Linked DNA regions of Coturnix japonica. The protein of the gene in region 2 purifies or fractionates together with the protein of the main gene of each other region. This does not show direct contact. Links are inferred from orthologs where the notes say so. Each region holds a gene or a part of one and is shown on either strand. Other genes may lie near its edges.

Region 1 (3,650 bases), on a different chromosome or scaffold from region 2:
TTCTTTGGCACTGTTTCTCATTTCTCTTCCATCAGCCCGTGGCAGTGCTAACAAAACACTCAACTCCATCTATTGAAATTCATTTTATGGGGATTGAAATGAACTTCTTTCCCCCTTATCTGAAACCTGTATTTCATTAGGACCTTTGAAAAGAGGACGCTTGTGTGTGCATGCTGTGCAGCTGAACATGTATGAGTGGAAAATGATGCTGGGGAGGTCTCATGTGCAATTCCTGCCCAGGTTTATATGGCTGGAATGCAGTGTAGTTAACCAGTACCTCTGTGAAGATGGGACCCTGTTACCTGCATGGGGCGCTCAGATGTTAACTTGCACTGAACTGAGGTGGAAGAGGGTACACCTACAGGAGAGCTGGAATTACTGAGGCAAAGTAAGGTTTTATGGGCTGTCTGAGCGTAAGGAGTCTTTTTCAACTGTTATTATAGTGGAAAACTACTGAATTATTGAAACTTCAGCTGCCTGCGGATCCGCCTCGGTGAGGGAACGAAAAAGCTTACATAAACCTTCAAACAATAACAAGAATATCATTTGTATAATTGTGGTAATTTTGCAGCATTACAGGTTATGTGTCTGTACATGTGTGCGCCTTTATTATTATTATTATTTAAAATGTATATTTTTCTGTCGGTGAAAGAGCCCTAAATACGTGCTGAGAAGTGATTTTGTGAAAACAAGGAGGACTTGGTTACACCTCGGGTGATGATGGAAACTGCTAACAGAAAATGAAAAGTCACTCACTTTTCACATATACTTGAAGCTGGAAAAGTATTTTTCCCATCCTCCTCCTCCCCCCTTCTCCTCAGCTCTGTATGGGACTTTGTGGGGTTTTCTGCTTTGCATGTAGGGTGGTTTTGCTGACAGCATTTAATCTCTCTCCCTGCAGTCGCTGCCGTTCCCAGTGAGGAGGGATTGCCCTGGCCGAAGGCACTGCGTTCTGTCCATGCTCCTGTAGAGGTGCTCAGATGGGATTAAAGTCCACATGGAGATATGGAAATGGACCAGGAACTTACTCTAAAAAGATGGTCAGCTGGGATTTGGGTTGCCTTATCTGCCTGGTGGTGGTCACCATGGCTGGACTTTCCCTGGCTCGACCGTCGTTTAACTTAGTTGTTGAAGATGCCACTTTGGAACCCGAAGGTAAATCATTCTAGTGTACTTAATTCTGCAAAAGGAGTTAATTTTAAGTACGTCAACAGCTGAAATTGAAGTCAACAGCTTTATGCGCGTTGGTAAATAGAAGGCAAGTAACAGATTTGCCCTCAAGAGTTATGTTTTCCAACTTCTCCTATTCACACGCGGACTGTGTTCATGCAAGCATGCGTTTATTTAATCTTGTGCAAGCAGTGGTGTCAGTGATTTCACTTGGGACTGTCATCGCGTTGTATAATCACAGTGTACAGCTGAAAGCTTTCAGGAACGGGTCTTTAAGGAAACCTGTTGCGCTTATGTACCTGTTATGTATTGCTTAAGAAAGGACACCGCTGGGTAGCTGTACGTCACTGTGATTTGAACTACCTGGAAAGTTGGGAGGAAAAAGAAATGCCAGTTGTTTTTATTCGCATGCCCTGATTGTTTAGCTTTGCAGGGCACTCTGCAAAGGAAGATGTCGCGGCCCTATTGGTGTTTGTGGCTGGTTGCTATAAATTTCCCTTTTGTTGTTCATGTCCAAGAACAATCAGTACGCTGTCTGGACCGCTGGGTCTGGAAGTGCACATGAGGAGATCTGAATAGCAAGGAGAGATTATTGCTGTGAAAGCAAAAACTGATTGAAACCTTTGCACTGAAAGAGGTGCTCCGATAAAATCTCCTACCTTGAGCCTGCACCTGTTGGTATGTTCTTGTAGGTTATCCCACCTTCAAACTTTGCAAAGTGTTTTTCTTTATAGAGCTAAGGAAGGGCTGCTTTTCTTGTTGTCCTGAGCCACTTGTATTTGTCTCCATTTTATGGAGAGCGTAGGATCATTTCTGCCTGCTGAACACCCTGGGAAAAAGCAAGGCTTCCTTCTTCTAGTTTTATTTGTCATTTGGAGGGCTGATTGAATTTCTATTAACTGTCAAAACAACATAGTAACCCATAAACCATATTTCATCAGGCGAGCTTTCTGAGGGGAGTTTGGCCTATACGTGTCTTGCTGCCCACATCCAGCGATACAGCCTTGTTTTTACTCAGTCCACTTCCATGCAAAGCGTATTTGTTTCTATCCACTGCCTCTAAAAATAGACGTCACCAGCTAACGCGTTTCTAGACTCTCTTCCAAGTACATTTTTATTGATGGCAGGGGAAAAATTATTTAGAGACGATGAGCCCTCCTCCCTAGCAAGCGTTCCTGAAGCAAAATGAATGCAGCGTAGCAATATTGTCATCTGTCACGGGCAGAGACTGTTGATGGCAAAGCCTTTTTGGTTCGTCCCCTCCCCTTCTGAAGGTAACATGAGAATTTGAGAAAGCTCAACTCTCATCACCGCTTACTGTATGTTTTGTTAATTGCACATCTGGTGCCGTTTTGGCTTTTCAGAGGAGTGACAAAATCAGGGATAGTTCTGGTTTCAGATGGGCTGTTTGTAGGGAGGTCCATTAGTTTTAGGGCTAAACAGGGAAGAATGTGATTGCGTGAATCATGCAGGAAGAAAGGTTAAAATATTTAACTTATGCTTTAACAGTTTTCTTTTCAAAATATGCTTTTTCCATGAGGAATATCCAATGGGTGAGAATCAAAGAGTAAATTGCTAAAAACCTACTGAAAACTTCTTCCCTGGGCAGGAATGTTAACATACATGAGATGATTTTAGATGTAAGAACTTGAGTTGTTACAAGAAAGAGCTTCTCAGTTAATGGTATAATATTAATGGTATAATAAGAGCTTTTATGCTGTAGAGTACAGGCAATTGTGTGGGATTTATATCTGAGATTTGGGAAATAAAACCTCTTTTATGTACTTTGTTAAACCCTACTCTAAAAAAAAAAAACACAACAAAACCCACTCTTTACTGAATCACCTTCGTTGGTTCCATCACTGCCACCCACAAGCTCTTGGTGCTGAAAGGAGAACAAAACGCTCTTGTAAAAAAATCTCTTCAAAGACAAAGCTGACTTTTATTGTTATTATTTTTTTAATTTAGTGAATGCCAAACATTTTGGTCACAGCTAATTTGAGGCAGTCAGGTGCTCCAAATCTTATGCTTTTGGTTGGGTGACTGACTGAGCAGTCATTAGGACAGTGACATTTTAGACCAGCTGAGAAGGTCGCCAGGGCTGTGACCTTTTGTGACATACTTTGATCTGTTCCTTGGTCTTTCTTCATGGACATGCCCTGGATTTTGTCTTTTTTTGGTGCTAAGTGCTTGTATTGTTGTTCTTTATTGTCTTAGTGACTCAGAATATTCAAGAAGCTGCATGCAATGTTAACAGGAATTGAGATTGTGGCTTTTGTTCCTTCAGCTGTAATAAATAAACCCTGGTTGAAATACAGTCATCTCTTAGCTAAACACAACTTAGGGGACCACTTTCTTTGGGGTCTGTATTTCAATACCTGCTTTAGCACAAGCAGTATTCATCTCTCAGGGTAATGAGCTGCATAGCTGTGTGTACACGTGCACCGAGGTGTTTTGTTTTGTTACCTGCAGTTTATCTG
Region 2 (3,650 bases):
GCTGCCTGTATTGCTCACTTCTTCCTTTTAGAATTTATTTCAAAAAACAAGCAGGAACAACTGGAATAAAATTAGAGTGACTTTTCTTTTGTCTCCTGGATCAATAAGGGATGTTTTGCTCATGATGTAGAGTAAAAATGTTTCTAATCTCCAGAAAATGAGGCTCTCAGGAGTCATGTTTATTTAAATTCTCAGTAGGAGTTTAAATCCATTATATGGTTTAGAGCCCTATGTACTCCTTTCTACACAGAGCTGTGTCTCTTGAACCCTTAAGCTAATTTGTCGTGTGCAGAAGATGGAGCAGATACAATATGCCATCTGATTTATGTCTTTTCACTTTACAAGTTTTAGTTAGGCATATTATAGCATAGCTTCATATAAGATCAGATTCATTCTTCCAGAACCTCAGCAGATTTTACAGTTTTTCCCAAGTGTTTTACTTTCCAAATACATGAAAAGCAGGCACTGGGGAGCCAGTATAGGCCTGTATAAAATGTTAGCTTGTTTGGAGATTATAATATTCTGTATTAAAATTCCTCCTCAATTGGGCTGTGGGTGTTTGCACAAAGATTATTCAGTTTAGATAACCTAAATTATAGAAAGTTACTCCAGCAGTAACTGATGTGTAGTTATATGATAGAGTGGTGCTACAGAAATCATAGAATCATAGAATGGTTTGGGTTGGAAGGGACCTTTAAGATTACCTACTTCCAGCCCCCTGCTATAGGCAGGGACACCTCCCTCTATACCAGGTTGCTCAGAGCCCATCTGGCATGATCTAAAATGCTTCCAGGGAGTGGGCAACCTGTTCCAGTGCATCACCACCCTCACAGTAAAGAATTTCTTCCTAATATCTAGTCAAATCTACCCTTTGCCAGTTTAAAACCATTTTGCTTTGTCTTGTTGCTACCTGCTCTTGTAAGAAGTCATTCCCCAGCTTTCATGTAGGTCACTTTCAGGTACTGAAAGGCCGCTATAAGGTCTCCTGTTCTGAAGCCCTGGTTCTCAGGTTCTGATCTAAAGAGCTTTGTAGGTACAGTATGCATGTTAAAATAAGAAGTGCATGTAACTGTTAAATCGAGACAGCTTGATTTGTCTCCATAACTAAATGTGTGCACCAAGTTTGTTTTTGCTGAGTTCTTCCTTTTGGTGAGGGTTAGAATGAAGAGGAGGTGGTTTCCAAATGAGATTTTCACTACTCCAGGTGGTACAGCCAGAGTGCTATAGCTAATAGTAGAAGCTTGAAATTGGACTATGATTACTCATGGAAGGTATTAAGTAGAATAAATAATTAAAATGTAAAGCCTATTCCTGTTTTAAGCTTACTGTATTTCATGGTTTGTTTTGTTTGTGTTTTTTTCCTAGGTTGTCCATAGAGATCTGAAACCCAGCAATATTCTTTATGTTGATGAATCCGGTAATCCAGAATCAATTCGAATTTGTGATTTTGGCTTTGCAAAACAATTACGAGCAGAAAATGGCCTTCTGATGACTCCGTGTTATACAGCAAATTTTGTTGCACCAGAGGTACATACCAGGGTAGCTTATATGCCTTGATTTCTTTTGGTGGGAACACTTGGATAGGTGTTCATTTCATTCTTCAGCAGCAAGTGAATTAACTTGAAAAAGAATTAAAGAATCAGATCTTGGTGTTTTTATATCATGACCAAAGCATTTCTAAGCACTTTTTTTTACAGAAAAAATATCTGTCTCCTTCAGGTTTTAAAGAGACAAGGTTATGATGCTGCGTGTGACATCTGGAGTCTTGGTGTTCTGCTATATACTATGCTTACTGGGTAAGGGTTTTTTGTTTGTTCACTTCCTTTGCTTTATAATAGCAAACAAGAATAGTGAGTGTGAACCCACTGTGACTGTGTTTCTAGAAGGGAACTGATAAATCTCAATTACAACTCCAGGGAAGTTAAATATGCTTCACCTTTAGTAGAATCCAAATTTGAAGGAACTGATGTCTCATCTGTTTCAGGTCTTTAAATTCTTCTTTATTGTGATTTAGATGTAAAAATTGTTTTATTTTTCCATTAAAATTAGCTGATTAAACAGTGTATGTTTTGAAGGAAATATGTTGCAAGCACAATTGCAGAGCTTTGAAACATAGTTGTGAGGAAAATTCAGCTACTGGATGGTTTGAAGTGTTGCACTTAAGGAATAATAAATGCAATAGAAATACATTTATGTATGCAGAAGAAATGATTTGTATAAAAGGTGATAAATGGCTAATTCAACTATGGTTCCACAAGTTCAGAAAAGAGCTGCTGTTGCACTTGCTAAGTAGGTTATTTTGTGCTGGTTTGTTCTATTCATCCTTTTTTTTGTCTTAAAATTTTGTTTGGTTAAATAGCTACACTCCTTTTGCAAATGGTCCTGATGATACTCCAGAGGAGATCCTGGCCCGGATAGGTAGTGGAAAATTCTCTCTGAGCGGTGGTTATTGGAACACTGTTTCAGATACAGCTAAGGCAAGTATATTTGCTTTGTTCTGTGAGAGATGAATCATAGAATCATAGAATTACCCAGGTTGGAAAAGACCTTGAAGATCATCAAGTCCAACCGCAGCCTAACCAGTACCCTAACTATATGAGAAATATACTTCGATGAAATACATTGCTGATAATGTCTACATAATAAATATTACCCATTGTTATTTTTAATTACTGGGCTGATTTTTATATGCTTAGAATTTTTTCTGTTTATGATCCGTTCGCGTTTCAATGGTCACTTGCATGTAGGGTGAAAATCAGGTGTGCTTAAAAAGATGGTGTATTTTCACACATGTGCAATCATCTGTGTCAAGAAAGGCTGTAATTAAATATCATGTCAAAAAATGACATTCAGAAGTCCTAAACTGGGATAGTGAAAATATTGAAATAATTACTGTATGTCCCTCTGGTTCAGGCTAGGAAAAATATTGTCACGTTTGTGTAGGGCTAGTTCTTCAGTTACCCACGACAGTTCATCTCATGTTCTTTCATGAGGACTTGAGCAGTTTATTCTCCTTAGTACTGAGATTCAACCTGCAGTTTGCACAGTTGTTAGAAGACTGTTGGACACTGGTAAAATACACAAGGGAAAGGGTCATCTCAATGTTCTGTTGTTTCTTTTTCACTTTTGTTGCCTAATTAAGTTACCTAACCAAATGACATAGTGTTAGCCTTGTCAGGCAGCTTTTCATCTGCTTCAAAATGATGCTATGAACAAATGTTTATGCTACTCCTTGTTATTGACAGGATCTTGTTTCAAAAATGCTTCATGTTGATCCCCATCAAAGACTGACTGCAGCCCAGGTTCTCAGCCATCCCTGGATCGTTCACTGTGACCAGTTGCCTCAATACCAGCTGAACAGGCAGGATGCTCCCCATTTAGTTAAGGCAAGTAGATATTTGTTCATCTAACTGGCCAAAATCAGAGTAAACCAAAGGATTCTTTTAATTACTGTAGCACTTTTCCTTTAATTAATTTTAACAATTATGACTACAAATTGCTTTTGGACACAGCATGATCTTCTAACATATAGTAATAACTCATTTGCTGTGAATAAATCTAATGTTTGACAAAGACTTAAGTTTTCTTCGATTTTAAAGTTATTACGCTTCAACTATTTAACTTATCTCCCTTAAGAAACAAGGATAGAA
Region 3 (3,650 bases), on a different chromosome or scaffold from region 2:
AGACATAATGCCGTGCTGGGACAGCAGGACGGCCACCACACTCAGTGCCATCACCTCAGTGCCATCACCTTGCCCCATCCATCCCATCCCACCTCAACCCATCCCATCCCACCTCAACCCATCCCATCCCACCTCAACCCATCCCATCCCACCTCACCCCACCTCAACCCATCTCAACCCATCACAGCCCACCTAAATCCATCCCATCTCATCCCACCTCATCCCATCCCATCCCATCACACTCCACCTTAACCCATCTCATCCCATCACACCCCACCTCATCCCACCTCATCCCATCCCATCCCATCCCATCACACCCCACCTCAACTCACACCATCCCATCTTATCCCACCCTACCCCACTCCATCCCATCCCCACCTGTCCCTTGGCAGCTCCCAGCGTGGGTCCTCGGGCAGCTCATACTCGGATACACCGGCCAACATGGGGGTTCCACTGGAGGAGAGCCGTGAGGGCCTCACCAACATCACACCCGAGTTCATGGAGGAGCTGGAGTCAGCCGACACCTGCAGCAGGGCTGTGGGTTACCTTCACGCAGTGCTGGGGCCACGGCCACCCGTTCCCAATGGGGAAACGCTGACCGGGACCCCCCAACTCCTGAACACTGTGGGTTCCCTGCTGCTCCCCATTGGAGCACAACTGTATCAACTGTAATTGATTTGTTGCTTGCTGGTACCACAAAACACACAGCCTGGGGGTCCCTGGTGTGCAGCACGCACTCTTTGTCTCAATATTAAATTGCCATAATGCCTCCTGGTTAATTGCCTCATTGCCATGGGGCCATGCACACAAGCATGGCAAGGGTTGGCCATGGTGCCAATTCTTTGGGGAGGGGCAGTAAGAGCCAAGAAACCCCCTCTCTACTTTCTGTTACCTGTCTGCGCAGTGGGATGCTCTTGGCCAGCTTGTGCACAGCCAGCTGGCTGTTGAAGTCAGTCTTCTTGGTGGTGCTCTTCATCTTGTAGATGATGACTGTCACCACCATGCAGGAGATGAGGAACGCGCCGGTGCAGTAAATGATGATCTCCAGATAGAGGGGGGACGTCATCATGGCCGGTGAGTCCTCAATAGCTGGGTTGGCACAGGGAGGGCATCAGTGGAAGCCAAGAGTGGGGCTGGGCAGAACCCGGCTCCTCTCAGCAGAGGTGAGGGCTGGTGTGGGATGCTCCCACATGCAGCAGGGAGTGGTCAGACCATGGGGTGGGCACTGCACCCACAGCCTTGGGATAAGCATTGTACCCATACCCATACCCTTGGGATGCACCCAGGTGCCTGGGGCAGGAAGGGGTGAACTGCAGGTTGTGAAGCAGGGGGTTCGTGCCCATTCCCACTCTATGTGGGATGGCACCATGGGGACCATGTGGGGATGCTCCCCTGCACCCACCGCCCTGTGGGGCTGAGCTGCACAGCCATTGGGATCTGTGGTTACAGTGGCCCGCAGGGGCCGTGTGGCTCCAATGGGTGTTGGGAGGTGGAGCTGAGCAGCCAGAAGCACCTGTAGCAACAGCAGCAGCAGTGATGTGCTGCAGGATGGGGGCTGGAGGTGGGGGGGGTCCCATCCTTATGCACCACAGCACGCCCCCACCTTGTGATCTGGGGGGGTGGCAGTGCTATGAATGGCACAGCCACAAACCCAGCAGCCCAAACCTGACCCCCCCCCCAAAGAACAGAGGCTGAGAGAGAGGTGGAAGAGTTGAAACCTCATGTTCCCAGCAGCACCACCTCACAGTGCACCCAAGCAGCGGCTGATTACGGGCAAAGCTTTTGGCAGCAGAGCGGCGCCCACGCAGCGCCCCAAAAGCTTCCCCAAGGCTGCTGTATCAGGCGTGGATCCGCACAGCATCGATGGCCGAGCAGCACATCGACACACAGCAAAGCGACAGCCCCAGCAATGCATCCGACACACGTGGAAACAAGGGAGGATAAGGACAGGAAGAAGAGTATATACCTTCGAGAACTGTCAACCATGCAGAGTGATGGGAGATCCCAATAGAATTACCCGCCAAACATGTATACTCCCCAGCATCCTCAAAAGTGACATTCCGTAAGTACAGAACCTCCATCTCTTTGTCTGTCGTGTTAACGCCAGCCGTCTAGAGGGGGAGAGTGGAAGCAAAAGGGAGAAGCAAACGACATGAGATCTTCTGGGGAGAGGCAGAGAGGAGGGAGCAGCCTCATATGGGAGCAGACAGAGACCTTGGAGACCCCCTGGCAGAGACCCTCCGGATGACCGCTCATCCGGGTGGACCTAAAGAGACCATATAAACCCTTCACCAACGGTCCTGCCCATCGGAGCATGCTGGTAATGGGCCACATGGAAAAATAGAGCTCGGGGAAGGGCCGGCTGGGTGTCACAAGGATGGAGACATAGGGGACAGCACGGACAGCACATAGGGGGACACTACACACAGCCCAGCCGGCCCCACGGGGTATTTTTCCATGGCTTTTTTTGCACCAGAAATACAGCAGAAACGAGAGAGCCCAGAGTTGTGTTTTCCACCACTGGGGACAAGGTGGTCCCAGAAGCGTCCCACTGGGCATCCTTCCCATTACCTTTTGCCAGAGGTCTGGTGACAGTGAGCCACGCAGACTGGTTGGCCTCGCCAATATAATTGGAAACCTTACAAACATACTCCCCGCTCTCCGCCTCTGTCACATTATACAGGGTCAGCACCTCCGCATCAGAGCTATTAATTCCCGAGTGCTGGAACAGACCAACAACAGAGGAGTCACATCGATGGGGTCAGAAACCACAGCGCCCGGAGCGATGGTGCCAGCACAAGGCTGGGGGCCATGGGGTTGTGGTGAGCCAGGGGACCATAAACCTGCTACAGTGCATCAGGGGTGGGTGCACCTTGGGGTGTGGATGGCCATGTGCACTACAGCTGGAGATGGCCATGCACCCCATATGGTTGGGGGTGGCCATGAGCCCTGGGCCTGGGGACACAGCTGGGGATGGCCATGTGCCCCATATGGTTGAGGGTGGCTGTGTGCCTTAGGGCTGAGGGTGGCCATGAGCCCTGGGCATGGGGACACAGCTGGGGATGGCCATGTGCCCTGGAAGCTTGGCATGGATGGGGATGTTCACACACCCCAGGCTTTGCAGAGGGGCTGAGGGCACTGCTTGTGCCTGGACTGAGCAACCTGCCCCATGTTTGCCCCCAGCACCCACCCAGCCCATGGCGTACACCTTCAGGGATCCAAAGGACGAGTGCACCGCTGCCTGCTGCCCCCTGCCTCTCACCCAGCTCCTCCAGGACAGCCCAGAGCAGAGCAGGTAGGGCTGGTGGGGCTCCAGATGCCTCGATGCCACCTTACATGTCCCCAGCTGTGCCCAGGGAGAGCACTGACCCCATAGAGACCCGGGCTGAGGCAGCCCGGTGTGTGTGCAGCGTTACCTTTAGGATCTGCACGTAGGGCAAGTTGTCGGGGCCGATCTTGCTGCCGTTCACCTCGATGTGTTTCAGCCATTGGATGTGGGGCTGTGGGTCACTGTAGACCTTGCAGACGAACTCCACGTTGCTGCCCAGGGCCACTGTTTTGTTGGCTGGGAGCCCTGCCTGCAGGATGGGCCGGTGCGGGGAGCGCTCTGCAGGGATGGAGGGATGGGGACCTCAGCACGAGCAACCCAC

The links.
Region 1: the proteins of RPS6KA3 (region 2) and FGFR2 purify together in Homo sapiens (affinity purification with mass spectrometry; 3 studies listed by BioGRID and IntAct, counting the BioPlex papers as one, with this or other methods). This does not show direct contact. The link is inferred for Coturnix japonica from reciprocal best matches to the Homo sapiens genes RPS6KA3 and FGFR2.
Region 3: the proteins of RPS6KA3 (region 2) and FGFR1 purify together in Homo sapiens (affinity purification with mass spectrometry; 4 studies listed by BioGRID and IntAct, with this or other methods). This does not show direct contact. The link is inferred for Coturnix japonica from reciprocal best matches to the Homo sapiens genes RPS6KA3 and FGFR1.

What each region holds. Positions count from the first base shown.
Region 1 is NC_029521.1:27,582,274-27,585,923, reverse strand, and holds part of FGFR2 (fibroblast growth factor receptor 2), read left to right. Parts: intron 1-368; exon of another isoform or gene 369-388; intron 389-476; exon of another isoform or gene 477-493; intron 494-901; 5' UTR 902-980; coding exon 981-1,155; intron 1,156-3,650. UniProt on the Homo sapiens protein: Tyrosine-protein kinase that acts as a cell-surface receptor for fibroblast growth factors and plays an essential role in the regulation of cell proliferation, differentiation, migration and apoptosis, and in the regulation of embryonic development.
Region 2 is NC_029516.1:105,979,931-105,983,580, reverse strand, and holds part of RPS6KA3 (ribosomal protein S6 kinase alpha-3), read left to right. Parts: intron 1-1,365; coding exon 1,366-1,527; intron 1,528-1,719; coding exon 1,720-1,796; intron 1,797-2,359; coding exon 2,360-2,477; intron 2,478-3,245; coding exon 3,246-3,386; intron 3,387-3,650. UniProt on the Homo sapiens protein: Serine/threonine-protein kinase that acts downstream of ERK (MAPK1/ERK2 and MAPK3/ERK1) signaling and mediates mitogenic and stress-induced activation of the transcription factors CREB1, ETV1/ER81 and NR4A1/NUR77, regulates translation through RPS6 and EIF4B phosphorylation, and mediates cellular proliferation, survival, and differentiation by modulating mTOR signaling and repressing pro-apoptotic function of BAD and DAPK1.
Region 3 is NC_029537.1:3,710,419-3,714,068, forward strand, and holds part of FGFR1 (fibroblast growth factor receptor 1), read right to left. Parts: intron 3,608-3,650; coding exon 3,417-3,607; intron 2,112-3,416; coding exon 1,967-2,111; intron 1,090-1,966; coding exon 887-1,089; intron 525-886; coding exon 379-524; intron 1-378. UniProt on the Homo sapiens protein: Tyrosine-protein kinase that acts as a cell-surface receptor for fibroblast growth factors and plays an essential role in the regulation of embryonic development, cell proliferation, differentiation and migration.